Linked DNA regions of Callithrix jacchus. The protein of the gene in region 3 interacts with the protein of the main gene of each other region in a biochemical or structural test. Links are inferred from orthologs where the notes say so. Each region holds a gene or a part of one and is shown on either strand. Other genes may lie near its edges. The genes, in order: MAPK1, GABPA, EP300, STAT3, SIRT2, APEX1 and ETV1.

Evidence for each region.
Region 1: of the proteins of EP300 (region 3) and MAPK1, one has a biochemical effect on the other in vitro, tested with the Homo sapiens proteins (2 studies listed by BioGRID). The link is inferred for Callithrix jacchus from reciprocal best matches to the Homo sapiens genes EP300 and MAPK1.
Region 2: the proteins of EP300 (region 3) and GABPA form a complex in vitro, tested with the Homo sapiens proteins (2 studies listed by BioGRID). The link is inferred for Callithrix jacchus from reciprocal best matches to the Homo sapiens genes EP300 and GABPA.
Region 4: of the proteins of EP300 (region 3) and STAT3, one has a biochemical effect on the other in vitro, tested with the Homo sapiens proteins (2 studies listed by BioGRID). The link is inferred for Callithrix jacchus from reciprocal best matches to the Homo sapiens genes EP300 and STAT3.
Region 5: of the proteins of EP300 (region 3) and SIRT2, one has a biochemical effect on the other in vitro, tested with the Homo sapiens proteins (3 studies listed by BioGRID). The link is inferred for Callithrix jacchus from reciprocal best matches to the Homo sapiens genes EP300 and SIRT2.
Region 6: the proteins of EP300 (region 3) and APEX1 form a complex in vitro, tested with the Homo sapiens proteins (4 studies listed by BioGRID, with this or other methods). The link is inferred for Callithrix jacchus from reciprocal best matches to the Homo sapiens genes EP300 and APEX1.
Region 7: of the proteins of EP300 (region 3) and ETV1, one has a biochemical effect on the other in vitro, tested with the Homo sapiens proteins (2 studies listed by BioGRID). The link is inferred for Callithrix jacchus from reciprocal best matches to the Homo sapiens genes EP300 and ETV1.

What each region holds. Positions count from the first base shown.
Region 1 is NC_133502.1:193,829,244-193,833,519, forward strand, and holds the start of MAPK1 (mitogen-activated protein kinase 1), read right to left. Parts: upstream 2,806-4,276; 5' UTR 2,594-2,805; coding exon 2,475-2,593; intron 1-2,474. UniProt on the Homo sapiens protein: Serine/threonine kinase which acts as an essential component of the MAP kinase signal transduction pathway. MAPK1/ERK2 and MAPK3/ERK1 are the 2 MAPKs which play an important role in the MAPK/ERK cascade.
Region 2 is NC_133522.1:31,940,253-31,944,532, reverse strand, and holds the start of GABPA (GA-binding protein alpha chain), read right to left. Parts: upstream 2,801-4,280; 5' UTR 2,701-2,800; exon of another isoform or gene 2,116-2,700; intron 1-2,115. Other genes in the region: ATP5PF (ATP synthase peripheral stalk subunit F6, mitochondrial), read left to right, coding at 2,817-2,833.
Region 3 is NC_133502.1:191,951,652-191,955,166, reverse strand, and holds part of EP300 (histone acetyltransferase p300), read right to left. Parts: intron 2,864-3,515; coding exon 2,786-2,863; intron 2,049-2,785; coding exon 1,939-2,048; intron 825-1,938; coding exon 687-824; intron 115-686; coding exon 1-114. UniProt on the Homo sapiens protein: Functions as a histone acetyltransferase and regulates transcription via chromatin remodeling. Acetylates all four core histones in nucleosomes. Histone acetylation gives an epigenetic tag for transcriptional activation.
Region 4 is NC_133506.1:121,758,025-121,761,539, reverse strand, and holds part of STAT3 (signal transducer and activator of transcription 3), read left to right. Parts: intron 1-822; coding exon 823-882; intron 883-2,247; coding exon 2,248-2,277; intron 2,278-2,378; coding exon 2,379-2,472; intron 2,473-2,568; coding exon 2,569-2,616; intron 2,617-3,515. UniProt on the Homo sapiens protein: Signal transducer and transcription activator that mediates cellular responses to interleukins, KITLG/SCF, LEP and other growth factors. Once activated, recruits coactivators, such as NCOA1 or MED1, to the promoter region of the target gene.
Region 5 is NC_133523.1:34,434,202-34,438,080, forward strand, and holds the end of SIRT2 (NAD-dependent protein deacetylase sirtuin-2), read right to left. Parts: intron 3,075-3,879; coding exon 3,015-3,074; intron 2,745-3,014; coding exon 2,689-2,744; intron 2,488-2,688; coding exon 2,411-2,487; intron 2,328-2,410; coding exon 2,276-2,327; intron 1,628-2,275; coding exon 1,557-1,627; intron 1,427-1,556; coding exon 1,360-1,426; intron 1,237-1,359; coding exon 1,081-1,236; 3' UTR 510-1,080; downstream 1-509. UniProt on the Homo sapiens protein: NAD-dependent protein deacetylase, which deacetylates internal lysines on histone and alpha-tubulin as well as many other proteins such as key transcription factors.
Region 6 is NC_133509.1:55,179,676-55,183,691, forward strand, and holds APEX1 (DNA repair nuclease/redox regulator APEX1), read left to right. Parts: upstream 1-1,207; 5' UTR 1,208-1,284; exon of another isoform or gene 1,285-1,376; intron 1,377-1,557; 5' UTR 1,558-1,628; coding exon 1,629-1,686; intron 1,687-1,885; coding exon 1,886-2,073; intron 2,074-2,647; coding exon 2,648-2,840; intron 2,841-2,974; coding exon 2,975-3,492; 3' UTR 3,493-3,756; downstream 3,757-4,016. Other genes in the region: OSGEP (tRNA N6-adenosine threonylcarbamoyltransferase), read right to left, coding at 559-673.
Region 7 is NC_133512.1:44,476,258-44,480,271, reverse strand, and holds the start of ETV1 (ETS translocation variant 1), read right to left. Parts: upstream 2,801-4,014; 5' UTR 2,771-2,800; coding exon of another isoform or gene 2,741-2,770; 5' UTR 2,692-2,740; coding exon 2,605-2,691; intron 2,095-2,604; coding exon 2,007-2,094; intron 619-2,006; coding exon 571-618; intron 175-570; exon of another isoform or gene 112-174; coding exon of another isoform or gene 51-111; intron 1-50. UniProt on the Homo sapiens protein: Transcriptional activator that binds to DNA sequences containing the consensus pentanucleotide 5'-CGGA[AT]-3'. Required for olfactory dopaminergic neuron differentiation; may directly activate expression of tyrosine hydroxylase (TH).

The DNA.
Region 1 (4,276 bases), about 1.9 Mb from region 3:
GGTTAATAGGGTATGTCATCAACCTGATAAAAGGCTATAATTTGAATCTAGGATTCAAATACCCAATTATATTTGCATTTGTGTTTTAGTTAGAAAGGAAAATCATAATAAGAGGACCTAGCATTCAAACGGAGAGTCAGAAGGTCAAACGAGCCTACAGCAGTTGACAGAATTAGTTCCCAGATCTAAACTTCAGACTAGTAAAAACCTTATCAGATAGGGGAAACCTTATCAGATGGGGGTATCTTTTCAAGTGATGTGTCCTAAACTTAAAAGACTTTTTTCAGTCCACATTTTAGATAAGTTAATTTTGTTAAAAGGGCCAAAGGACATGATGGGAAATTCTGAGCCTCTCATAATGAGACACGTTCACGGGCACACTTCCCAGTGAGTGCAACAACAGTGAGATGTATGGTACAGAAATGATGTTATTGGCAATACTTCCTCTCCATTACTTTTTAGGGCCTTATTTCTTTTTTGTGTGTGTGAGACGGAGTTTCGCTCTTGTTACCCAGGCTGGAGTACAATGGCACGATCTCGGCTCACTGCAACCTCCGCCTCCTGGGTTCAGGCAATTCTCCTGCCTCAGCCTCCTGAGTAGCTGGGATTACAGGCACGCGCCACCATGCCCAGCTAATTTTTTTGTATTTTTAGTAGAGACGGGATTTCACCATGTTGACCAGGATGGTCTCGATCTCTTGACCTTGTGATCCACCCCCCTCAGCCTCCCAAAGTGCTGGGATTACAGGCTTGAGCCACCCCGCCTGGCTTTAGGGCCTTATTTCTTTTAGGCTCGACCTAATTTAAATTCTCTCTTGGCTCCTAAACCTGTGAGTTCATGTTAATTTTTACAATTGTATTCAGCATTTTGCGCCTAAATAAAGTGAAAATACTGTAATCCCAGCTACTCAGGAGGCTGAGGCAGAAGAATCACTTGAACCTGGGAGGCAGAGGTTGCAGTAAGCAGAGATCTTGACACTGCACTCCAGCCTGGGCAACAGAGCGAGACTCCATCTCAAAAAAAAAAAAGTGAAAATATGAAAGATTCAATTAAAGTCTCTTTAAAAAAATTTTAAGTAATCTTTCTATCTAGCTGCAATACTTGGCAAAACATGCCTTCTATTGCATTTCTAAAATTATGACGATTGAAATCTGAATACACTTCTGAAATAGACTTACATTTACTTTATAACAGTGAAATACACAAAATTCTGCAATTATTAATTACCCTAAGGAAAGCAGGGTGTTTTCCTAAAAACAGCTGAAAAGAGGTGTGGTGTGTGAAGTAGAATCTCACTCTACAATCTTAAGAATAACTCTTTAGTTCTATTACCTCATCCTGAACTTCACCTCAAAATACTTTATCACCTGAAATACCTTCTCACCTGAAAAAAGGAATAACACCATCTTTTCCTCCTTCAATGTGGCTGTTCAAATAAAATGAAATCATGTATGTTGCACAGTACCTACCATGAAGTGCTCAATAAAATATCGGTTTAATTCCTTCGGTCAACACAAAAGACACTGTGATTTAAGGGAATCTACTTCCACAAGTCTTCACCAGCACAAAATGTTACAGCTAGTTTGCTCTAATAAAAACAATACAGTCACCATCACTTCACTTTTCTAAGGGACCTAAATCAAGATGAGGGAGCCTACATGTGATTTTGCAAAAACTCCAGAAAGGCTGCATACTTATTGACCACTAAAGTCCACAGCAATTGGGCTAAAACATCTGGGAGCATTTATGCTGGTAAAAGAGCTCACTAGGGGACTAAAAAAAAAAAAAAAGTCAAATTAGGCCCAACTCTAAACGGATCTTTAATAAATCAAGAAACTGAGGCTGAGTTAACCTTCCTGAAACGCCAATAGTGTGATATTAAAATCCACTTTAAAGTAAAAACTTCAAGACGGAAATAACACTGCTGTCAGCAATGCATTTTATAAAGCCTGCGCGCAGACCACCATTAGCACCGCTGAGGATATTTAATCAAAGCCGTTGGCTGCAAAGGCGAGTAGAAAAAAAATGACTATTTTGGTGTTCTGCACACACGCGGAGACAAATCGCTTTCAGGACCTCAGCAGCCGCCGCCAACACCGACAAGCATCTGATGGAATTCCCAGTTTACAATCAAGCAAGCCATGATGTTAGCAAATTGAGGAGTGGGGGCGCTTCCGTTGCCTTCCCGAGGGTCCAGACTTTAAAGGCCGCGTTGCGCCCTGGGCCCGAGACCCAGCCTCCGGCCTCCGGCCTCCGCCCCCCACGCCACTCCCTGCGCCCCTTCCCGAGCGACCGCGGGCCCGGGTCTCAATCGGCCCGGGGCACCGCCCGAGTCCCGGCGCGCGGACCGCGGTGAAGTCCGGGTTCGAGGTCGCCGCGGCTGCCGAGGCCGAGGCACGGGCGAGGCCGAGGCTGCGTCCGCCGCGGCCCCCGGTGGTGGGGAGGTCGGGCGTGGCCAGGCACGGACACTCACCACACCATGCCGTAGGCGCCCTCGCCGATGTACGAGAGGTTGGTGTAGCGCGGCCCCACGTCGAACACCTGCCCGCGGACCATCTCCGGGCCCGCGCCCGCCGCCGCCGCCGCCGCCATGTTGGTTGCCGGGCCGCCGCCGCCTCCGCCGCACTGGACTCGACGCTCCGCGGCCGCCGCTCGGCTCCTGTCGCCCCTCCCGAAGGGACCGCGCCGCCGCCGGAGCAGCCGCCGCCGCTGACCGGGAGGAGGAAGGAAGACGCCGGGGGGGAGACCTGAAGAGCCCACAGCCGCTCGAGCCGACTGCCTGCCTGCCTGCCTGCCAGACAGACGGGCGGGCGGAGGGAGGGGCGCGCGCCGAGGAGAGTGCCGGGGAGGGGGCCAAGCAACGTGCGTGCAGATTGGTTCTTCGTGGATGGGGCGGGGCCAGGCGGGCCGGCGGAAGCGACGGGCTCGGGGTGGGGCACTGCGGCTGCGTTGACTGAGGGGCCACCCCCGGGCGTGGTCACGTGTATTCGCGGGGTCGGAGGCGCGGGACTCGGCTCTTGAGAGACTCAGGGAGACAGACGTGGGGCAGAACCTATGGGACTGAAGTGACATGTGGCCGGGGCCCGCGCCGGAGCAGGGTCCTAACAGAACCAGCGAGGGCTCGGAGCTGTGCCTGAGGCTTGACGACGCGCCGTAGCCCGGCGGCGCCACAGCTCAGGCCTCTGCTAATCCGTGGCCCACACGCTGATAAACTAAGAGGCGTTGGCACTGGGGCAGAAACCGAAAGACATGACCCAGACTGAGAAAGATATTTCCATACTGAGAAAGTGAGAAGCACAATTGTCTAGATTAAAAGGAGACACTGAGAGGATAGGAGAATCAGAGCTTAGCTCAGATGTTTGTTGACCACACTCTATGTTCCTGGGGATCCACCCTCATAGAAGTTACATTTTAGAGAGAGGAGACATTTATTTATTTATTTATTTATTTATTAGAGACAGCGTTTATTTATTTACTTGTTTGTTTTTAATTAATTTATTTTTTAGAGACAGCGTTTCACCATGTTGGTCCGGCTGCTGTCGAACTCCCGACCTCAAGTGATCCGCCTGCCTCAGCCTCCCAAAGTGCTGGGATGACAGGCATGAGCCACGGCGCCCGGCCAGACAAATACATTTAATACTCAAGCTGTGGTAAGTACTGTGAAGAAATATAAAGCAGAAGGGAGGGCGCGGTGGCTCTCACCTATCATCCCAGTACTTTGGGAGGCCTCGGCGGGCGGATCACTTGAGGTCAGGAGTTTGAGAGCCAGGTCTCCACTAAAAATACAAAAATTAAAGGCAGGCACGGTGGCTCACGCCTGTCATCCCAGCACTTTGGGAGGCCGAGGTGGGCAGATCACGAGGTCAGGAGTCCAAGACCAGCCTGGACAATATGGTGAAACCCCGTCTCTATTAAAATATAAAAACTAGCCAGGCGAGGTGGTGAATGCCTGTAATCCCAGCTACTTGAAAGGCTGAGGCAGGAGAATTGCTTGAACCCGGGAGGCAGAGGTTGCAGTGTGCTGAGATCTCACTACTGCACTCCAGCCTGGGCAACAGAGCAAAGACTCCGTAGGAGGTGGGGTGGAGAGAAGTTATCGAGGCGAGGTGGCAGGCACTTATAATCCCAGCTACTTTTGAGGCTGAGGCAGGACAATGGCTTGAACCTGGGAGGAGGAGGTTGCAGTGAGCCGCCACTGCATTCCAGCCTGGGCAACAGAGCAAGACTCCGTCTCCAAAAAAAGCAAAAGGGATTAGGGAGTGGTGGGTCGAAACA
Region 2 (4,280 bases), on a different chromosome or scaffold from region 3:
AATTACACAGAAAAAAGTGAGAATCAGGTTTACAGCAGAGCAGCACTTAAAAAATCATTTATTTTCAGGACTTATAAGGAGGTCTACTCCCAATTTTTTAAAGATTATAAAACAGCACCCCTAATATAAACACTAAAATAAGTTGTTAAAAAGAAATTTGTCCTATGACCTTTCAAAAAAATTACAGACCATTCCCTAGAAAGTGCCAGAGAAAAAACCAAACCAAACCAAACAAAAACCCATGCCCTTTTGGAGAAAAAAAAAAATATTACTCAGTTTCTTAAATGATCTTTCAAAAAATATTACCCAATCTCTTAAATGATCTTTTTCTCTCTCGGCTCTCTATGCTTAGTCTAGAGAAGCAAAACAGAGATTTGAGAAACAGTCCAAATTTTTCATGACAGTTTTTGAGTGAGTCTTATCTTTTTCTGAAACCAATTCCCCAGGTTTGTATGTCAATACTTAGGAAAATTGAGAGAAAATTACTTGCAGTCTCTCCATCTAAAGGCTGCCCCCGTCAGAATTGCATAGAGCAACTTCATATACTTTCATTGACACTTTGGTACTGCTAGATTCCATCCAACCGAGTTCGGAACGTTTCACAAGATGGAATACAAACTGAAGTTGAATTTAACGAAAAGTTCTGGGAACAGCTTGTGTCTTTTAAAATACTGATAGGTGGAACATTCCTGTTTGAAACTACAGATAAATTTGAGGGTTGTCAACCTATTTGAGGATTCACTGGAGTGCATTAATTACAGAGCTTTTTTCCTCCCAATATATTGTAATTATAAAACTAAGTGGAGTGTGGGGGTACCTGCGAGATTAACTGCACATTTTCCCAAGTTATCAGATGCTTTTCAGTACGACGGAAATTAAAAGACATTTTTATTTTCAAAAATAAAGGTAGCAGCTAAGAAAAAGCAAAGCATATACATCTATGTAATTTAAAGAGAGAAAGCACACAGAGTGAAAGATTAACAGTTGAGACCCCCCAGGTGAAGGGTATATGGGTGTTCGCTGTATGATTTTTTTCCCTGAATTTTTCTGTAGGTTTGCAGTTTTACATATAAAGAGTTGAGGGAAGGGTAAAGTCAACCGTTTTAATTTAGTACTCGGTCCTATGACTTGCTTCAGCCTAACATCTAGCTCAGGATTTAATTACTTCAATACTATACATGCGTCATGACAGATGCTCCTGTATACACAATTCAGGTAGAACTGATTTAAGTCCACCCAGCGTCAGTGTATGTCTAAATATAAAGAAGCCTGGAAAGTCTGGATGGAACCCTGAGAGACAGGCTAGTCCCTTAAGCAGTTGCTAAAGAGCTGAGCAGTTCCTTCTGAAGTTCCAGATAACACTACCTAAGAATGTTATCACCGCCCTGTTCTGCAATTCGCTCAAGGGAATCCTGCTAAATCTTTGCTCCTCTCAAGAGTAAGACCTACGTGTATTAGTGGAAACTACTTATGAAGTGAATTTTATTTCTAAATTTCTAATCATCTTGGAATACAGTATTAGGCACTGTCCTCTCGGCCGCTAATCTGATCAAACTGGGGTCCCTAAATCCGAACACGCACACCCGGCGTGTCTTCTAGCACACAAGGCACTTTAAAAAGTAGGGAAGCTACTTTACCCTGTTATTTCCCTGGTTTACTTCCTCGCTTAAAAACAAAACACAAACCCTGACGGATACCATAAAGACTGACAAATGGTTTTGTTGTAACTGTGTCGTTCTAGAAAGAGTGGATTTGAAGTGAGTGAATCGCTGAGTCCCGCGATGAGACAGGCTCTGCATCTTGCTCTTAAAATCCCGGGGGTGTCAGGACCACATCCCAGCTGAGCAGGCTGAGACTGCCGCGGAATGCAGACTGGCGGGAGGAGGGGACTGGGAAGGGAGGGAGAGGTGACAGGCGACCCGTCCAGCGCGGGTACCGGGGACGCGCGGTTCCCCGAGGCTCCCGGCCGCTCGCCCCCCGCCCCTCCCCTTTGCTCCCCGCACAGCCTCTCCCGCCCCTCCCCACCCGGCTCCTTCAAGTCTCCACGAACGGAAATGGGAGTCACAGCGCCGGGGACCAGCGGAAACAAAACACAGAGGCGGCCGCGGGGGGGCCGCTGTGGGCGAAAAGGCCCCGGAACGAGGCCGGCCCGCGCGGGCCCACGCTCCCCTCCTCCCCGGCGGCCGCACTCACCAGCTCCGGAATCGGCCCTGTGGCCCCCGCCCGCGCTCCAGAGCCGGCTGAGAATGGCAGCGGCACAGGCTCCACGTGCTGCGTCTCTCCGGGTAAGACCTTCAGCTCCCGCGACTAGAAGTGTGAGGCCCTAGGGCCCTTCCCGCGGAATCGGCGCTGAGAAGCCCCAACCCCCCTCCCGCCTCCCAAGCACCTCCAGGTCCAGGACTACAACTCCCAGCAGGGTGCGCGAAACAAACGCCCAAGGCAACGGAGGCTCACGAGGCACAAGGAAGCACAACGCCCCAATCCGCTTTGTTTTACACAGTCTCACTTTCCCTGTACCATTATACACCTCGATAACCCTAAGGAACAGGACGCTGAGTCGAAAGACAGCTTGAACTAGGGGACAGGTTAGACAAAGTGCGCATGCGTACAGAGCAAGGTTTCAAGGAGGGAAAGAGAACGGGTCAAATTAGGCGAAGAAAAGATGGCGGAGTCTTCGCCACGGGACCCGGAAGCACTTACCCTCTACTTCCTCCTCCTGTTTGGCTTCTGTCTCACCTAGAGCCGTCCGGTCGCAGACTTGTCTCCGAGACGCTTCCTGTCCGGTGAGCGTCGACCGACTGAAACGGCGGCCCATAATGCATTGCGATGGCGGGTAGGCGTGTGGGGGCGGAGCCAGAGCCGGAAGTAGGACGGTGGTGGTGGTGGCTGCGGCGGCTTTGGCAACTCGGTACTGAGTGCAAGGTGACTGGGAGGGTAGCTAGATCAGCGTGGCCTCTTGGGACTCCAGATCTGGGTTTCTTCACGAGGGCTGGGCTGCCTCTCACCTTTGCTCTACTAGAAGGAGAGAGCAGCTCTGTGTCCTGGGGACATTTACGGCCTGGCCCGGGGTCACAGCTGACCTCTACGCTTCTAGACCTTGGAGTTTGCCTTAAACCTAGAAATAAGACTGATACCTTCCCAGGGGGCAAATCGGGGCCGCGCGGGAGGCAGGGAGGCTGGGAGGTCTCGGGCCCGCATCCTGGCTGGGGCATCCCAAGGTCAGGCGCGCGGGAGAGGTTTTCGGCTAGGCCTGCCCGCCCCGGGCGCAAGTAGCCGTCTTAGCTCCTTAGACAAAATGTCCACCAAAAGAGGGCAAAGAGTAGTCATAATCTTGAAAGTTTGCTTCCCACCTACAAACGATGATAGTGCTAACACTTCGTTAGGCAGCTTTATGGATTGTTCTTAAGAACATACACTGACGAGACAGCGAACCTACTAACCTTTGGCCTGTCAGTCATCACTGTAATGGGACAACGTTGCTCCCGCCCACGACAAGACCTCTGCTCGGACTGTAGTGTTTTCTTACTGTTGCGTTCCCCAGTCTTTCTGATCATGTCAGACGCTATCATATTCTCTCGTGTCACCCGATGGTACTGGAATGGAGAATTTATGGCAGGTGGTATTCCACAGCTGTTTGTGTAATGACTGTCTTCTGCGAGTCAGTGGACAATATGCATTCACTAATCAGTGAAAAAAATGAAAGGGATTAAAGAAGGAACAAGTTTTGGTATGAGATTATGTGTTAATTTTTTTGGATGAGTTCGTAGAACTTATAAGGGAGATGAGAACTGTTGAATAGAGTGTATAGATTTGGGGTTCAGGAAGAATACCAAAATTAGAGATGCGATTCGGGAATGATAGGCACTTAGAAGATAGAAAATTGAAACGATGAAAGTGGATTTTACCCATGTTGTAGCAGGAATAACATCTCTGCAGTCAGACTTAGAGAAAATTAGCTGTATGAATATGTGCAGCTTGACTTCTTAGACATAGATCTGTAAAGCAGAGATAAGAACGTTTCCTTCTAACTTTTTTTTTTATTGTAAACAGCTTATTTTTATTTTTTATTTTATTTATTTATTTATTTTTTCTTTTTTTTTCTTTTTTTAAATTTTTTATTGGATTATAGGTTTTGGGGTACATGAGCAGAGCATGCAAGACAGTTGCGTAGGTACACACATGGCAGTGTGCTTTGCTTTTCTTCTCCCCTTCACCCACATTTGGCATTTCTCCCCAGGCTCCTTCTAACTTTTTAAGAGTATTCCCATAAGGGTACAAGG
Region 3 (3,515 bases):
GGAATTCTGATGCAGAGCTGGTTGAGGAAGCTGGGGACAGTGAATGTGGCTCCCCTGAGACCCTGGAGGCATTATAGGAGAGTTCACTGGGCAGGAAGAACTAGACATTTGTGCCTGTTAAAAAACAACAAGACAGCAATTCAAAACAGAAGGAAATATTTATACAGGCATGTTATATGCATTTAGGACACAAACTGATTAAACAAACAGTAGCAATGTGTCTATTTCATAAAGTGTAAAAACCCTATTACTGGGGATATATCTTTGGAGAGCACCATCAATAAAGTACTTAACTAAAGAGACTTCAAACCATTCAGCAGAATGGCCTTAGTCACTGCAGAAAAATGGCAGAATTGAGTGCATAGTACTCTAGGGCCTCCCTATGCTCTCTTCAGCCAGAGTTCCTTCTACGGTCTAGTAAATTCTAAGATTTTACTTTAAAAGTGTTCACTACAAAAAAAAAATTAAAACCATCCATTTAAATTATTTCCTAATTTGTAACAACACCATTGCTATGTCATAATCTCTTCATGTTCTGAATGCCCTAAGTCCAAAATTGTTATTTTTTAAAGAATCATCTGTTTTCACTCATTGTTTGCTGCCACTCTTTCCTATAAAAACCTAAGTCAAGAGAAATTTCAAGAATCAAAAATAAGTTAAAAAAAAAATCCACTTATAAGACATACTTGAGACACTGGAGCTTGACCGCTGGACGGAGCCAAAGACATATTTGTTACATTCATTCCCTGTGATGGGAACTGAGTCTGAGGAAGGAACTGGCTCTGGCTGGAAGGCTGCTGCATACGAGGCCCATAGCCCATAGGCTGCAAAAAACCAGAGCACCAAACTATTCATTCTACTATAACTGAAATCATCAAATGATCCTAATGTCAGGCTTATTAAGCAGAGAAAAGTCAAAGACAGGAGTATAGGTGAAAAGGGCTGGAGAGGAATAGGAAGAAAGTTGTGGAACAACTGACTGTTGCGCCAAGATAAACGGGAATAGCCTCACAGCTTACCTAGGCCTATGCTCAAGAAATAATAAGAATGGGACAAACATACATTCTCTTGATATACAAATATACCTAGCTCTAACAAGGATAGCAGGTAACTTTCTTTGCATGCTCTAAGTGAGGAGAGTGAATCACAATTTCATGAGCTCACATCAGTGATGTAGTAATAGCACAAATTCTAAGAACCATAATATGTAAAAACAAATAAAATCTTACACGTTGTGGCACAATCTGGTAGCATTCACGGTCCACAAATGCTCCAGGATTGTTACACTTCTAAAATTACCCTACACAAATCCAGGCCTTAAAGAAAGAAATCTGTAGTACCAAAGGCCAGCCAAAAACTTCGTAAGCTAAGAACATCTGTCTTACAGGTTGAAATGAAGGACAGAACTCCTTGTTGAAAACGGCAGATTAGTGAGAAGTAGTAATGCTCAGGAACCCCTCAAAAGGCTGAAGAATCAGAGGCACCAGCTAACTCTAAAGGGCAGCAGGAGGGTTGGGGTCAGTGTGAAGAGATGGACTGGTTAAGAGTTCGCCTAAGGAGCAGGAGATGCCTAGTCTTTCTTTTCTGGTCTCAAGAACCAGTCAAACACACCATCACCCTTGCAAACGACAGACAGTTCTCTGCCTGGAGAAGGGAAGACAGACATCAGGGAAGAGAAGTGACTGTGAATATGCATGCAGGCTACTAAACATTGAGACTCCAGGGATAAGGGCCTGGCTGTTTTTATTTTTTTGTCAGCTTTCTAATAGGGCTAAATACATTAAAATTACAGAATTACAGAAGAACTAGGAGTTATGGTCTGTTTAAATGACTGTGAGAATTTACAAAGCAGGAACAAACAGGATTAAGCAGGAACAAACAGGATTTTCAAAATACCAGGTAAAGGCCAAAGAGATTACCCAAAGATGGCAAACTAACCGGGTTGAGAGTTCCAGGCTGAGCCAACTGTCCATGGTGCTGAAGAGGAGGGGTTTGCCGGGGTACAATAGGGGGCTGGGCCATGCTCATCTGGCCAAATTGATTCAAACCTGTGAATATGTACAAAATAGTAGATCTGAATGCCTTTGTGAAATTGAAGAATAAAATAATTCTTATGTCTAATTCTATAACATTTTATCAGGGCTAATAAACCTGCTTTCAATCTTCCATGTATAAATATATCTGTCTCATTTGCAGCAGTTGTATACAGGCATTAACAGGATCTCCAAACTAAATTTTACACTCTACAAATGTACCTTTTTTTTTTTGAGACAGAGTCTCGCTCTGTTGCCCAGGCTGGAGTGTAGTGGCATGATCTGTTCATTGCAATTTCCACCTCCTGGGTTCAAGAGATTCTCCTGCCTCAGCCTCCCAAGTAGATGGGATGACTGACAGGCCTGAGCCACCATACTTGGCTAATTTTTGTATTTTTAGTAGAGACAGGGTTTACCACATTGGCCAGGCTGGTCTTGAACTTTGACCTCAGGTGATATACCAGCCTCAGCCTCCCAAAGTGCTGGGATTACAGCTTTAGGCCACCGTGCCCAGCCTGCACTTCTTTTAAAATGGATGCTGCATCATTTAATGTCACCTGCCCAGTGATCTGCCAGCCAACCTGCTCTTCACCCCCTCTTCCTCTAAGGGCTCCAACTCCAAGGGGTTTTTTGAATTTCTCAGGCAGGTTATCATGACACTTGCTGTTGACATAAAGTGGGTATCCAGATAGCAGGTATTATCTTGCAGTACATCAGGGATTCTTTTAAAATAATTTTTTTTCACTATTTACCAGACTGTGAAGTTATCCGAGGGATCATCTGGTTTGGCACACTGCCACGGATCATAGTTGGATCAGGCAGAGGACCATCTAGAGTAAAAAAGAGAAATAAAGAAGTATCTTTGCACCATCTGCCCTTAAACAACCAAACTCACTGTGAACACTGATCTTAAATAATATGCATATTATAACACACTATATATCTTGTACCTCTAAAATAGAAAAATAGAAGTAATTCTTTTTTATTTTGTTTCTCAAGTGATGTTCCTGCCTTATCCTCTCAAATAGCTGGGACTACAGGCACATGCTCCCATGCCTGGCTAATTTTTGTATTTTTTGTAGAGATGGAGTTTCAGGATATTGCCCAGGCTGGTCCTGAACTCCTGAGCTCAAGTGATCCGCAGCCTCAAGCTCCAAAGTGCTGCGATTATAGGCGTGAGTCCACATGCCCAACCCCTTTTATGCTTCTATTATTTTCGGTGTATTAGGTTAAGGTAAGAATCTCATTTTACAAAATGTCAGATTTAGTATAAGCTAAAGGTCAACAATTAAGGCTGATATTCAGTTCCACTACCTTTTATTCCTGCTTTCATCGGTACCAAACTGTTTTTACTCTGACATTAGAATAAAATTTAGTATCTCACAGACTTTAGACTTGGCTCAAATTTCACCCAGAACTTGAGTTAATTCTACCAAAACCAAGTATCTCATGTATGTCTATTTGTTTTTGTATCTTTAGTTA
Region 4 (3,515 bases), on a different chromosome or scaffold from region 3:
TGGTCAGGCTGGTCTTCAACTCCCGACATCAGGTGATCCACCCACCTTGGCCTCCCAAAGTCCTGGAATTACAGGCATAAGCCACCATGCCTGGCCTTTATTTTATTTTATTATTTTTTTTTAGATGGAGTCTCTCTCTGCCACCCAGCCTGTAGTGTAGTGGTGCGATCTTGGCTCACTGCTATGTCCATCTCCTGGGTTCAAGCAATTCTACTGCCTCAGCCTCCCTGAGTAGCTGGACTGGCATACACCATCATGCCCGGCTAATTTTTGTATTTTTAGTATAGAGACAGGTCTTAGTCATGTTGGTCAGGCTGATCGCGAACTTCTGACCTCAGGTGATTTGCCTGCCCTGGCCTCCCAAAGTTCTGGCTTACAGGTGTGAGCCACCACGCCTGGCCTATTTTAACATTTTTTAAAGAGAAAGATAGAATCTCTCTCTTTGACCCAGGCTGGAGTGCAGTGGCATGATCATGTCTCATTGCAACCTTGAACTCCTGGCTACAAGTAATCCTCTTGCCTCAGCCTACTGAGTAACTGGGACTATAGGTTCATGCTGCCACACCCCGCTAATTTTTAAATTTTTTATAAAGGCAGGCTCTCGCTTTGTTTCCTAGGCTGTTATGGGACTCCTGGGCTCAAGTGATCCTCCCAGCTTTGCCTCCCACAGTGCTGAGATTATAGATGTGAGCCTATAATTATAGACAGCTTGGCCAATTACCTCTGAGAAATGAAGAATTATGAATTTTACCTTTCTTCAACAAAAGGTTATGGGAGAGTCTACTGACTTTTTTTTTAATTGGATAATTTCTTTTTAAATAGGTTGCTGGTCAAATTCCCTGAGTTGAATTACCAGCTTAAAATTAAAGTGTGCATTGATAAGTAAGTACTCCTATCTTAGTTCTTGTTTTCAAATGAGGAACAGAAAAATGAGAACTTTTATAGGCATCATTTGAACTCGAGATTCTATCTTTATTCAGAGATGTTTTTGGGGATGAAAGTTTACAAAAGCCCTGGGGTGCATTGTCATTTACTTGCCAGAACAAAGCCACAAAGCTGAGGGTATAGGTGTGATTTGTGGTTGCTGTTGTTTAGCGTTTTACTTGTACATGTAATTCATGCATTTTATATATAAGACTGAGATCATGTGTTAATTGATGACTGAGATACATTCTGCAAAATGTATCATTAGGCAATTTTGTTGTGCCAACATTTATGTAGAGTAGATGGTCTTTATACAAACTGGGTGGCAGAGTGCCTATGCTATGTGGTAGAGCCTGCTGCTTGTAGGCTGCAAAGCTGTACAGTATGTTACCATGCTGAATACCGTAGGCAATCGTAACACACATCACAATGCGGTAGGAGTTTTTCAGCTTATCATCTTATGGGACCACTGTCATATGTGCAGTTTGTTGTTGACTGAAATGTCTTTATGTATTCTTTCCATACATAGCGTGTGGAAAGAATAGATCTTTTTTTTTTTTTTTTTCTTTTTTTTTTGAGACGGAGTCTTGTTCTGTCGCCAGGCTGGAGTGCAGTGGTATGATCTCAGCTCACTGCAACCTTTGCCTCTGGGTTCAAGCGACAATTCCCATGCCTCAGCCTTCCGAGTAGCTGAGACTGCAGGTGCACACTACCACGCCCAGTTAATTTTTTTTTTTTTTTTTGGATTTTAGTGGAAACGGGGTTTTACCATGTTGGCCAGGATGGTCTTGATCCCCTGACTTTGTGATCCACCTCGATCCCCTGACCTTGGGAGGCTGAGGCCTCCCAAAGTGCTGGGATTACAGGCATGAGCCATCATGCCCAGCCTTTTTTTTTTTTAATTGTTCCACACTTTTACCATATAATGGAATACTCAAAATTTTATAATACCTTTCAGGATGTAAGATACACATACCCTTTGAATATATTAGAAAAGAGAAAATACATACTTAGTTGATATAATTATCTGGAAATTTCATGACAATGAACTGGAAAATAATGAAATAAGGGAGTTGACAAAGGTGGGAGGTTTAATAAGTACATATGCAATGTGAAACACGGGTTCCCCTTCCTATGGGGAGGCAACCAACTGTGCCTACTACACAAAGGTGTTATGATGCACTGATAAACTGTAACTAAATTGTTCATAGAAATGCCAGGAGCACAGAGGTTTTTTCAGGAGAGTAAATAACAGGTGGTCAAAGTAGGCTTTTTGAAGAAACATGGACCCTGTTTTACTGACAACGGTCTATGTTCTTACAGAGACTCTGGGGATGTGGCAGCTCTCAGAGGGTAAGTTTCGCCTAGAGGCTTCCTTTTGTTCCGTTTAACTTAACTTTATCCTGACTTTATACTTGGTCACCTATATGGCTGACTGTTCTCCTGCAATTCAGATCCCGGAAATTTAACATTCTGGGCACAAACACCAAAGTGATGAACATGGAAGAGTCCAACAATGGGAGCCTTTCTGCAGAATTCAAACACTTGGTATGTGGGAGGAGCTTCCTTCACACAGGGCTTCTGGCTGAGGGAGAGAGCTGGGGAGAGCCTCATGGGACACCTGGCCTTTTTCTTTCCTTGCAGACCCTGAGGGAGCAGAGATGTGGAAATGGGGGCCGAGCCAACTGTGATGTAAGTTTTGTTGGGGGTGTTTTCCCTGAGGGAGAAAGGGGAAAAGACCCTTCTTATTACCCAGAATTAGAAACATCAACCTGTCCTTTCAGCTATAGTTAATTCCAAAAAGCCATTGCAGGCCAAAGTGACCTGATCAGAAGTTCCATGTGCTGTGGCGTTCTGTGGCTTGGAGCATTTCTGTGAATATCTGGGAGTTGGCTCCTCCTTAAGGAGAAGTGGAAAGTCCCTTGCTGAGTCGTTCTCCACACCCATGTGTTATAAAGTAGCTTTCCACCTTGCCTGGGGCTTTCCAAATTCCCCTTCCAGATCCTGCCGTTGACTCTGCTTGGCTCCATTCTCAGTGTCCCATTTTTCTCTCTCACTGAGGTAGGATAGATGGTGTAAAAGCAACAGTCCCGAGCTAAACTTTAAAATAAATGACCACCTTGTGTTAGCTTGCTTAGGAAAAGAGAAAATAAAGTCAACGAACAAACAAAAACTCATCTTGTTCTTTATCCCCCTTATTTTCTGCCTTTCATTGATTCAGTTGGATTCTTAATGTCAAGTGTCAAGAATAATTTTTATTTTTTTAATAGAAAAAGGTAAATATGACCTAAAGCTAGTTTAATGATTTTTAAAAATTGTGATACCCTGTTCTTGTTCTCACATTTATCCCCTGAACAATTCTTCCTCTTTAAAACGTAGCAGTCCTAGCTAGGTGCGGTGGCTCACACCTGTAATCCCGGCACTTTGGGAAGCCGAGGCAGGCTGGTCACTTGAGGTCAGGAGTTTGAGACCAACTTGGCCAACATGGTGAAACCCCGTCTCTACTAAAAATACAAAAATTAGCTGGGCATTGTGGTGTGTACCTGTAGTCCCAGCTACTAGGGAGTCTGAGGCATGAGAATGGCTTGCAC
Region 5 (3,879 bases), on a different chromosome or scaffold from region 3:
CCCTGCCCAGGCCACAGCAGGAAGGAGGGGAGAGGAGGGGAGAGCAAGGCAGATGCCTGCCTGGGTACGGTGACAGGGGAGGAGGCTGTGGGTGGTGCTGGGCAGGGCTGGTGGGGGGGCAGCTGCCTGATACCAAAGGGAGGCAGAGGGGCTGAAGATGCCAGATGCTCGGTCCCTGGGGGCCCTACCTGTTCTCGGAGGAGAAGCCTGCAGTGGCAGGAAGTGCAGAGAGGAAGCTGAGCAGGGGAAGAGGCGGGGCTGGGGTATCTGAAGTCAACCTTCCTCCCTCTTTCGGGGGCTCAGGCTTTCAGTGACAACGCTTAGAGGAAGGGACACTGGCAGGCTGGGAGTCCAGGGGTCAGAGCCATGAGGGGCCGCCGTGAGGACCCTTTTGTCACCCCTCACTCTGGAGCCTGGAGACTTTCTGGTTTCTCAGTGGCCTGAGACCTAATCCCTCCCTTCAGCGATTTCCCTGGCTGCGGCAGAAGAAGCAAGAGGCCAGACCGGACTGTTAGTTGTTTTTGTTTTTAATTTGTCTACAACAAGCAATGTCTTGTGGCCACCCAGCATGGGAAGTGGGTCCCATGTGAAGGGGCCCACCACCCACTTTGGGTGTTGAAGGCAGAGACTTGGGAGCCCCTCTGGCTCAGACTCCCCTATGCTGGGTGTAGGTTTCATTCAGAGGCCCACAGCCCTGTTGGGGTAGGTTAGGTCTGGTTTACTTAGCCACAGGCCCCTGGGGGCAGGAGAGAGAGTGGGGGCCCGAAGCTCCCTGTCCTTGAAGAGTTAGAAGTCTGGGGTGGGCCTGGCCCCGTGGGGGTGGTTAATGATTAGTGGAGTGGTTAGAGATGGTGGGGCTGCTAGAGACGCCTGTCCAAGCCTTGGTCTCTAGTAGGTGTTAGATTTGCTGGGGTTGGAGGGCAGGGTCGCTGGGACCCCAGTTCTAGGGGGGAGTGGTTAAGAGATAGGGAGGTTGTTCTGAGCTCCCCAGACAAGAACAGCAGGTTAAGAGGGGGCCAGGCCTGGTTGGGGCTCAGCTGTCCCTGAGGGGCTGGACATCCTGCCTGGGAGTGGCAGCTGTCACTGGGGTTTCTCCCTTTCTGTCGTCCTGGCCTCCTCCTTGGCAGGTGGTGGGGACTTCCTGGGGGAAGCTGAAGTGCTGGGGTTGGGGGCCCCTGCCTCTGACTGGGCATCTATGATGGCGTGCTCCCTCCGGACAAGGTCCTCCAGCTCCTTCTGCAGGGGGAAAGGTCACAGAAGTCAAAAGTCACTGTGCATCATGGGGTCAGAGGACAGATGGGGCTGGGGGAGGGTCTAGGGACGGGCCTCAGGACAGGCTGGGGTCGCCTGGCTCCTCACCTTCCATCCGAGGAGCTCAGCAAGGGTCAGGCAGCCCTGTTCACAGTCACCCAGCCAGGCCACGTCCCTGCGGTTCAACAGGAGATCAGAGTTCCCAGGCAGGCTCGCCCCTGCCTGCTCCTCTCTTCTGCCTTGTGCCCTCCCTCCCACCTACCCTGTCCCTTCCTGGCTGCCCCTGACCCCAGGCGGGGCCTCACCTGTAGGCTTTCTTGGAGTCAAAGTCCATGCCTCCGCCAACGCCCATCATCATCCCCAGGAAAGGGTCCAGCTGCCATCGAGCGGGTGGGGTGGGGTAGGGAAGAGAGAGCTGAGAGCACAGACTTTTTCTTTTTTTTTTTAGATGGAGTTTTGCTCTTATTGCCCAGGCTGGAGTGTAATGGTGAGATCTTGGCTCACTGCAACCTCCGCCTCCCGGATTCAACTGATTCTCCTGCCTCAACCTCCCGCGTCAACCTCCCGAGTAGCTGGGATTACAGGCATCTTGCCACCACACCAAGCTACTTTCTCATATTTTTAGTAGAGACAGGATTTCACTATGTTGGCCAGGCTGGTCTCGAACTTCTGACCTCAGATGATCCACCCACCTCAGCCTCCCAAAGTGCTGGGATTACAGGCATGAGCCACCGCACCTGGAGGACTTTGTATTTTTTTTTAGACCACCTCCCCTCACCCCACCGCCTCCTCCTCCTCAGGCCCTGGAAGCCTGGCCTTCTTGTTCTGGGTTCAGCTGGTTTGAGTTGGAATTCAATCATTTGCTCAAAGGGGTGGTGGATGTCCCAGAGGCCTGGAACCCGATGCCTCTGGATTCTAGAGCCCCAGGGTCTGAACTGAGGAGTCCAAAGAACTGGGGTTCCCCGGCAGGGGTTCCCTTTGAGGAAGCTGGTGGGAGGGAAGGGATGTGAGGAAGGGCTCTTACCTGGCCAACTTTCTCCTTGTTGATGAGCAGGCGCGGGGTGGAGAGGGGTGCCCTGGTGGGAGGGGAGCTGAGAGATCAGGGTCTGTCCTGGTCCTGGGTGCCCAGCCACCCTCCCAGCCGCAGCCCCCAACCTACTTGCTGATGAGGGAGGCAAAGGGCTGCACCTGCAGGGAGGTGCCCATGATGATGAGGAGGTCCACCTTCAGGAAGTCCTGCGGGGAGGGGTGAGGTCGGGAGCCTCTGCCCAGGCTGAGCCACCGCTCCCTCCTCCGCCCCCAGCAGCAAACCTCCTTCCACCCCTCCACAGCCAGGGAGGCAACCTTTCTTGGGCAGGGCTCAGGCTGCCCCCAAGGGGCCCAGCACAGGAGGAGGTGGGGGCTGGGGGTAGGGAGGGCGGTGCAGTGGGCACTTACTGACTGCATGCATGAGAAGAAACGAGCTGGGAGGCTCTCACCAAAAAAGATGATATCTGAGGCCAAGACAGAAACAGAGACAGTGACACGGGGAGGAAGAGAGGACGGGAGGGGGCAGGGGCAGACCCGGAGGCTGGGGTGGGAGCTGGGTGCAGCGGGGACCGGCCAGAGACACAGACTCCCCTCTCCCCAGGATGGATCTGGGGCACTGTTCAGAGAGACAGAGGTGGCCAGATGTGTGGGGGTGTGGCCTTTGGGAAGGGGTCAGAGGAAGGAGGGGACCCCCACCCAAATCCACCTGGACAGGACCCTGGCCCGAGGCTCACCAGGCTTCACCACACTCTGACAGCCCTCACACTTGGGCGTCACCTCCGAGAAGATCTTCCCTGGGTGTGGAGAAGGGGAATAGAGAGAAAGCAGTAAGAGGCTCTGGTCCAGGGTCTGGAGGTCCAGCACACCCACCCCCTCCACCGCTTGTATGAGCACATCTCCGTCACTTGGACATCTCCTCGGGTGTCCATTCTGTTTAGTAAACACCTCTTTTATTTTTTGAGACAGGGTCTCACTCTGTTGCCCAGGCTGGAGTACAGTGGCACAATCATGGCTCACTGTAGCCTCGACCTCCCAGCTTCAAGTGATCCTCCTGCCTCAGCCTCCTGAGTAGCTGGGATTACAGGTGCGTGCCGGCATGCCTGGCTACATTTTGTATTTTTTGTAGAGTCACGGTTTTGCCATGTGGCCCAGGCTGGTTTCAAACTCCTGGGCTCAAGCAAATCTGCCAACCTTGGCCTTACAAAGTGCTGGGATTACAGGTGTGAGCCACTATTCCCAGCCTTATTTTATTTTATTTTATTTTGGGCAATAGAGCAAGACTCCATCTCAAAAAAAAAAAAAAAAAAGGCCAGCAAGCATTTCTGTCACTTGCAACCCACTGAATTCTAAGTCACTTGCTCCACTGTCCATTCGTTCATTCAGCACACATTTATAGAGCATTGTTTCCATGTCAGTAGTCGGGAATTGTCTTTAAGCTGTTTCTGTGTGGACCGCATGACACCGTGGGTGCTGCCTGTGACGGCACTGTCAGTGGCACATAACGGGGGTAATGTGAATTGTACACTGCCCCAGCTGCCCGCAGTTGGGCCATTCAGGACTCCTCAGCCCAGGGGCACTCAGCTGGCATTTTGTCAGAAC
Region 6 (4,016 bases), on a different chromosome or scaffold from region 3:
TAATCCCAGCTACGTGGAAGGCTGAGGCAGGAGAATTGCTTGAACCCGGGAGCCGGAGGTTGCAGTGAGCCGAGATGGCGCCATTGCACTCCAGCCTGGGTAACAAGAGCGAAACTGCGTCTGAAAAAAAAAAAAAAAAAAAAAAAAAGGAGTGTATATTCAGGGCAACTGGAATCTATATTCCTACTAAGCATTTTTTAAACAGAATGTTTCGAATCCATCTCTATTACACTGTTTATCATGCTGAAGAATAAACATCTATTTATATATCTGATTCCACAACAAAATCATAACATCTATTTCTAAACGCTTAGCACATAAAATGCGCTCAATAAAAGGTAAACTAACTTCTCAGATCCACCTCCAAGTGCCTATACCTCTTCTAGCTATCAGCCCTGTGATGTCAATAAAGTCACATAATTTCCCTGAGACTCGGATCAAAAGCTGTAAGAACGGACAATGCACCCAAGGCCCCACTTAACTAGTATTTAGGAAGATGGAAGACTAATTCCGTGCGGGGAAGTGCGCGGAAAACTCTCAAGTCCCTTACTAACCCACCTGTGCCCGGAGGCGTGACATAAGTCCGCCGCGGGTTCGCCAGCACCTTGCCATCCCGCACCACTCCCACGCCAATCTTATTGGCGCTGCCTTCAAAACCGAGCACCGCCGGCATGGCGAAGCCGGGGAGAAAACGCCGACAGGACTCCTAGCAACCTAAGAAGTGGAGGTCCTTCCAAGTCCGCGCTGTGCCGCAGCTTTCCGGGGCACAGAAGAAGAAGGCGAGACTGCAGATAGCACTGCGAGAGACACCACAGAACTCCCGCGAGCGGAGACCCGTCAAGGCCCCTCCAGGGACCTGTCTTCCTAACTGCCAGGGACGCCGAGCCGCCTCTGTGCTTTACATTCCTATCAGTTTTTCTATCCCTTTCCTATGGTCCAGCCCAGCCTTCGCTATTGTTTTTTTCCCCTCTTGCACAGCATTAGGATCTTAAGCCACATTCAGAGAATGTGCCGTGCATCTGGCACAACAATAAACACCCCGAAGGAGGGTTGGGGCCTTAAGTCTCCTGGGGAGAAGGGAGGCTAGGCCAAGTGTCTCCATTACGTGGTACCAGACAGACCAATCACGCACATTCTTCTGCCACGTGACTGGAGTCTCGGATCACGTGACCAGATCCGCTACCCACGTGGGGGCACAGCGTGCACCGTTCTTTGTGCTCGGGTTAGGAGGAGCTGTGCTGCGTTCTGACCAGTGCAGGCAGATACGGGGTTACTCTTCTGCTCGTAAGAGGGGCTTCGCTGGCAGTCTGAACGGCAAGCTTGAGTCAGGATCCTTAATTAAGATCCTCAGCTGGAGGGCAGATCTCGCCAGTAGGGTAAAAGGCACTATGAAATGATCTTGTTAGTGGGTGAGGGGCTGAAGGGCATATGATGCACGGAGGCTGGGAAAGGATTGAGACATAACATGGTTTGAAAAGCGGGGACCTGGTGCGGGGACGCTTTAGGGGAGGAGTCTTCTCCCCAGGTTTAGCTGATTTCATTTATTTGCGTCTGTAGGCAACGCGGTAAAAATACTCCTTCGGTGGGCGACACGGTACAGGTGCCTCCGAAGGGCGTTCGTTACGGGAATGCCGAAGCGTGGGAAAAAGGGAGCGGTGGCAGAAGACGGGGAAGAGCTCAAGACGGGTAAGAGAATGAAATAAGCCCCTCTTCCTAGAAGCTGCGGCGGGAATTTCCTTGATAACGGTAACTACAGGCCGCTCATTTTTTAAGGGGTTTGTGAAGAAGTAGCGGTAACATCACACTTTTGTTGGGTTTATAGTTAACGCCGGATCGAGGTTGGAAACTACCAACTTTTTGTCACTATGTATTACTCATTTTATAGAGCCAGAGGCCAAGAAGAGTAAGACGGCCGCAAAGAAAAACGACAAAGAGGCAGCAGGAGAGGGCCCAGCCCTGTATGAGGACCCCCCAGATCAGAAAACCTCACCCAGTGGCAAACCTGCCACACTCAAGATCTGCTCTTGGAATGTGGATGGGCTTCGAGCCTGGATTAAGAAGAAAGGATTAGATGTAAGTGGAATTTAAGGAGGGGAAGAGAGTATTTTTTCCTTTTTTTAAATATCATTTTCTACTTTGGTAGAGATATTCTTTAGTATTGAATGATCTTAGGGGTTTAGTCACCCCTTTTTTCCGTTTAGCCTTCAGGCTGTTTTGTTTTTCTCCTGCCCAGGAGAGCTTTATGTGGGGCTTCCCCACATTTTGCCAGTCGTGTTTCTAAATGTCCGTTTCTTCACTTCCATTGCCATTTTCGTTTAATGTTCTCTCCTCTTCCCAGACTGTTGCAAAAACCTTTTTTCTATACTTCCTCCATTTTATCTTCAGCATGTCCTCCATTCCATTAACTATAGCTTAAAATCTTAGCTTGCCATCCACTGCCTATGGAAAAAACACAATCTCCTTAGTAGAGCGTGTAATACTTTATCTTCCTCTATTAGTTTTTATTTATATAGCTTATAATTGTTTAAATGTTGTACTACTTGAACTCATTAGGCCAAGGGACTGTTTAACCTGTGCATATCTATGACTTAGCACATATTCAGTAAATGTTCTGCTGAATTGATGTTTTCCACCTTTTCACTTATAGTGGGTAAAGGAAGAAGCCCCAGATATACTGTGCCTTCAAGAGACCAAATGTTCAGAGAACAAACTACCAGCTGAACTTCAAGAGCTGCCTGGACTCCCTCATCAATACTGGTCAGCTCCCTCCGATAAGGAAGGGTACAGTGGCGTGGGCCTACTTTCCCGCCAGTGCCCACTCAAAGTTTCTTATGGCATAGGTGAGACCCTGTTAATCCCTAATGCCTGAGCTCTTCAAAACCAATAGCTAATTCTCCATCTCTGCCCCACCTCTTGATTGCTTTCTCTTTTCTTGTGGTTTTTTTATGCTAATTCTGTTTCATCATTTCTGTAGGTGAGGAGGAGCATGATCAGGAAGGCCGGGTGATTGTGGCTGAATTTGACTCGTTTGTGCTGGTAACAGCGTATGTACCTAACGCAGGCCGGGGTCTGGTACGACTGGAGTACCGGCAGCGCTGGGATGAAGCCTTTCGCAAGTTCCTGAAGGGCTTGGCTTCCCGAAAGCCCCTTGTGCTGTGTGGAGACCTCAATGTAGCCCATGAAGAAATTGACCTTCGCAACCCCAAGGGAAACAAAAAGAATGCTGGCTTCACGCCACAAGAGCGCCAAGGCTTTGGGGAATTACTGCAGGCTGTGCCACTGGCTGACAGCTTTAGGCACCTATACCCCAACACAGCCTATGCCTATACCTTTTGGACTTACATGATGAATGCTCGATCCAAGAATGTTGGTTGGCGCCTTGATTATTTTTTGTTGTCCCACTCTCTGTTACCTGCATTGTGTGACAGCAAGATCCGTTCCAAGGCTCTCGGCAGTGATCACTGTCCTATCACCCTATACCTAGCACTGTGACACCACCCCTAAATCACTTGGAGCCTGGGAAATAATCCCCCTAAACTACCATTCCTTCTTTAAACACTCTGAAGAGAAATCTGCATTGTATTTCTCATCTATAAAAATAGGAATCCTCCAGCCAGGCTCCCGCAGCAGACTTAGATTTCTTTTAAGCTCAAGATTTTTTTGAGGGTTTCTTTAAAAAAAAAAAAAAAAATTGAACAAAGGCTACTAGTAACTTTGTTTGAATTATCCACATGAAAATAAAAAGCCATAGTTTCATCCTTGCTGTCTTTGTGTCTTACCCCTTCGTGGGGCTACACATTCCCTTTCTCCTTATATTTTCATGCATACAAGTTAACAACTGAAAAAGGGTAGAGTCATGACCTTATTTATTTACAAGCACAGGATAAGTCCCTAACCTCCCCAAAGACAGAGCAACCCTACCCAGCCCAGTTAAAATACTGCAACTGGGGGGTAAAAAAGGTTGGAAGGAGGAATTAGGGAAAATTCAGGAATAGGGGAACGTATCCCACATCAAA
Region 7 (4,014 bases), on a different chromosome or scaffold from region 3:
CCCAAACATTTATTTTAAACCCACAGATTTCCTAAGTATTGGATACACACCTAACGTTCTGTGTTGTGAACAAGGTGGAAAGAAGACACTTGCACTTAAATCTTGAAGCATCCCGTCCTGATGAACCCAGAGAAACTAATTTCTGCCATCAGAAAAGTCCTCCACCAGAACACCAAATAATGATATGCGCTGCTCGAAAGGAAACAGCAAGCCAGCCGGGTTCTGGCTCTAGGAGGTCTCTGGAGGTACAATAATATAAACCTGATCAATTGCAATTAAAATCTGAACAGAGGCTTAGAACTTGAAGTCTTGGTGCATTAGTTCTTGCCAAAAGCAGATGTGATTGTGAGCTGGAAGCAATTTCTCCTGGTAATTTGTGATGACACTGGGTAGTGCAGCCCCAGAGTCCCCAAAGACAAACTCATCAGAGGCTCTAATGTATGCATGACACATGAGGTGGCTCTTTTAGAGCTCAATTAATTGGGCTGAATATTAAGACAGCAAGTTCAGGACTTTTTTTTTTCCTTCCAGAGTTGCTTTTCCCCCCTTTTAAAGCAATTTTTGCCTTACCTTCTGCAAGCCACGTTTCCTGTAATTGACTTAGATCTTGAAAAAGTTCTAAAAAACAAGTCAAAGACATAAACATAAGATTTGCAAATCTGCAGTCTGCATTAAATGGAAATGTTTGTCATGAAATTGGTATTAAATATAAATTTAATTTCAAGAGATGTAGTCAACATAAAAAGAAAATAGGAGGCATGACTTCAGTATCTCAATAATGCTGCCTACTTTTCATGCCTATTAAGCAACTCTTTAAGAAATTATTTTAGTCAACTAAAGAATATAGTCAATCATCTTTTCTTTTTCCTTTTTAACAAACAACTTACTAAATAAGCTCAGGATTACCTGAATTCACAAAAAGGCTGAAATGAATGTGTGTCTATTCACTGAAATCTTTCTCAAATGTATTTAACTCCAGCTAAACTAGTAGTGAGGGGAAGATTAGGAAACCGAAAAGCATTTTATTTATATCTTCTGAATCTTACCTAAAAGATATGACAATACATGGTATAATTGTAAATACTATGTTTTCAACTTTTTTACCTCAAAACTAAAAGAAATCACTTCAAATACAAGTTTTTAGAGGAAAATTACTACAATAAGAGGTTTATAAAAGTCAGACACACAATTCTCTGGCACTAGGTTATCATCAAGTTCAAAACTATATGGTCATGTTAGGGAGGGAGGGAGGTGTCTAAATAGTATGAAGATTTGAGGAAGTTTCAGAATTCAGTATATCTAATTAAAATTGCCAACTGAACTTTGATAATTAAATCTAAGTATATTAAGTTTATTATGAATGTCTCCATATGGCTGCAATAATTTGTAATATATTGACTTCCTACCAAGAGTTCATAAAAAGAATCTACAAACTAATTTCCCAAACAGTATTATAATGATTAAGTAGGCCTTAAGTATGATTCAGTGAACATTTTATGGCCAATAAACAAGGTATTATGACCTCACAATTTAGTCATCAAAATCGCCCTTGAAAATTCTGTTTACAGTAGATGGTTTTAGTGTAAAGGGGTGGAAAACCAAACAATCACTAATATTGTTTAACTTGCAATAAAGTAGAAAGAAAGAAAGTAAGCAGTGTACATAGCTGTTGAATTTGTCCCACTGTATTGGACATTTTTTAATTGTTATCTTAGTGAATGGGGTGAGTTATATGCCATATGGACAAAGGTATTTAAACACAAAACAATGATTAAAAGAAGGATGTCATTGTTAAGTTTTTATTTCCTTCTTTCATTAGTTTGTGATAAGGACCATAAAATATTCTTCCATGCAAACTGCCACATTATGTAAATTGTTCCAAGTTAAAGTCTTAAATTCAGTAATTTCAAAGTTTATTATTTTAAAGTCTGAAGTGCTCCTTTTCTTTTAGCAGGGTGGAGAGTGTAGGTAAAAAAATAAAGATTCAGCCCAAAATCAAACCTCACCTTCTGAATCATGAGCCAGATCTCTGTTAATGAATTTTCTTTTCCTGACATTTGTTGGTTTCTCGTTACAATTTCTCCCACGCTGACTCTACAAAGGGAAAGATAAAATCCTTTAAAAGAATGTAAACCTCAGATGACACACACACACGTACACACACATGCACGCACGCATACACAAGTCTAGTGGATCTTCTCTCTGAATAGAAAAATAAAAGTCCATAGTATCAACTGTAATATTCATTTTCTCACTTATTTGACAGTGAAAGCTTAGGTTGAGAATTCAGCAGTCAGGGAGAGTTGCTTCCCAGTGCCGATCCTAGGACATTACTATTTATCAGTCATATATTCATGGTATCTCAGCATCAAAACAAGCTTAAGCATTTACACTTAAAGTTGTTTTTAGGCTGTTTCAATGCTAGATTAAAACAGTGAATTTTATTCTCTCTTGGACAACCCCTCCCCTCCCCCGCACCAAACCAAAAAAAAAAAACCAAAAGAGTAGAGAAATTTAAAAAAGAGAGAGAAATAAAACGGGGGGGAAGGGAATAAGAAACAAAAACACCCCATATAAACAAAAAGTGTCAGCATTTGTCTCAACTTCATTCTTTTCAATGTGGCAGACAAACCCAGCCAAAAACTTTGAGTGCAGCAGCTGCTGCTGCCCTCCACCTCCTCTTCCACTCATCTTGGGCACTTTAATCAGAAAAAAAGGGGTCTTAAAAACAAAACTATGCCTTATCCAAATCACTGAAAGGTAAGCTCATTTTGAAGACTGGGCTTCTAGAAGCAGAGTCGCCCTACAGTGGCAACAAAGCAGATAAGTATCTGCAATCCCAACCCCCGTGCCCCCTCCCTTCTCATTTTCTGCCTCTCCCCACCCCCGTCGGAGTCAAGTTTATAAACAGCAACTTTCAAACTGATCACTCACATTGGTGACCATGTAAGGCACTTGCTGGTCATAAAATCCATCCATGCTGCTGCTCTTCGCAAATCTCAGCTCAGTATTTTATATTTTGACCATTTAGCTGGAGATTTCCTCGGGATCTGGACTTCTATCAACCTAGAGGGGAACAAGATGGCTTTTAGGCTTAAAAAAAAAAAAAAATCATGAATGAAGCTCTTGAATTTGCATAGCTAATTACCCTCCGACAGTCCCATTCACAAAAATAACCCTCCCTACACCGCCTCCTTCACCTGGATCCAAAGAGAACCAAGAGAGTTCACAATTTATATATTTTCGGTAGTAGCAAAAATCCGAACAAGAGGCGATGTATTTATTTACACTCTCGATGTTTCCCTGCGCGGTCGGTGTACCCCGGGCAGCTCTGATTCGCAAACGTGTGCAAAACTAGCAATGGCGATCAACGAGACTTGCTTTGCACCTAACGGGACTAAAGAGACGGAGACACCTCTTTCATCAGGATAGTTTTTGCGACCCACAACCATGCAATTATCTGGAGAGACATAGAAAGTTGTTGGAAAGACCCACCTGAAGGCCACGCTAGGCGAAAGGCTGCAAAAACTTCCCTCCAAATTTAATAAAAACATTAATTATTGCCCAGCACTTCCCCCTTGAAAGCCGAAAGCGCCTCTGACAGAGCTCAATTCGGTGGTTTTTCCTCTACTTCTCCTCCAGGGGCCTCCAATCCAAACTGATGGATCGCTGCCTCCCATTGGCTCCGCGTCTCTTTCACAAGATCAGATTTCGGGCTGTCAATCAGGCGGCTTGCTGCCCCTTCCCGCGGGTCTCCCTCGCCCCTCGGCCCTAGGGGGTGCTCGGCGGGTAGGCGCTGGGTCCGCAGCCTGGAAACGCCACGGAGAGACTCGACTTCCTCGGAAACCCGCAGCTTATTGTTAAGGCGCCCGGGGATACTGAAACCATGTGTATCGAGTCTCCAGTTCTCATTATTGGGGTGTTAGGTCCACTATTGGGCTGATTTCCTTATAGCGCTGTTGTGCGGTTCTTGTATACACTTCGAGGAGCGATCCACAATGCCCCTACCTCCGT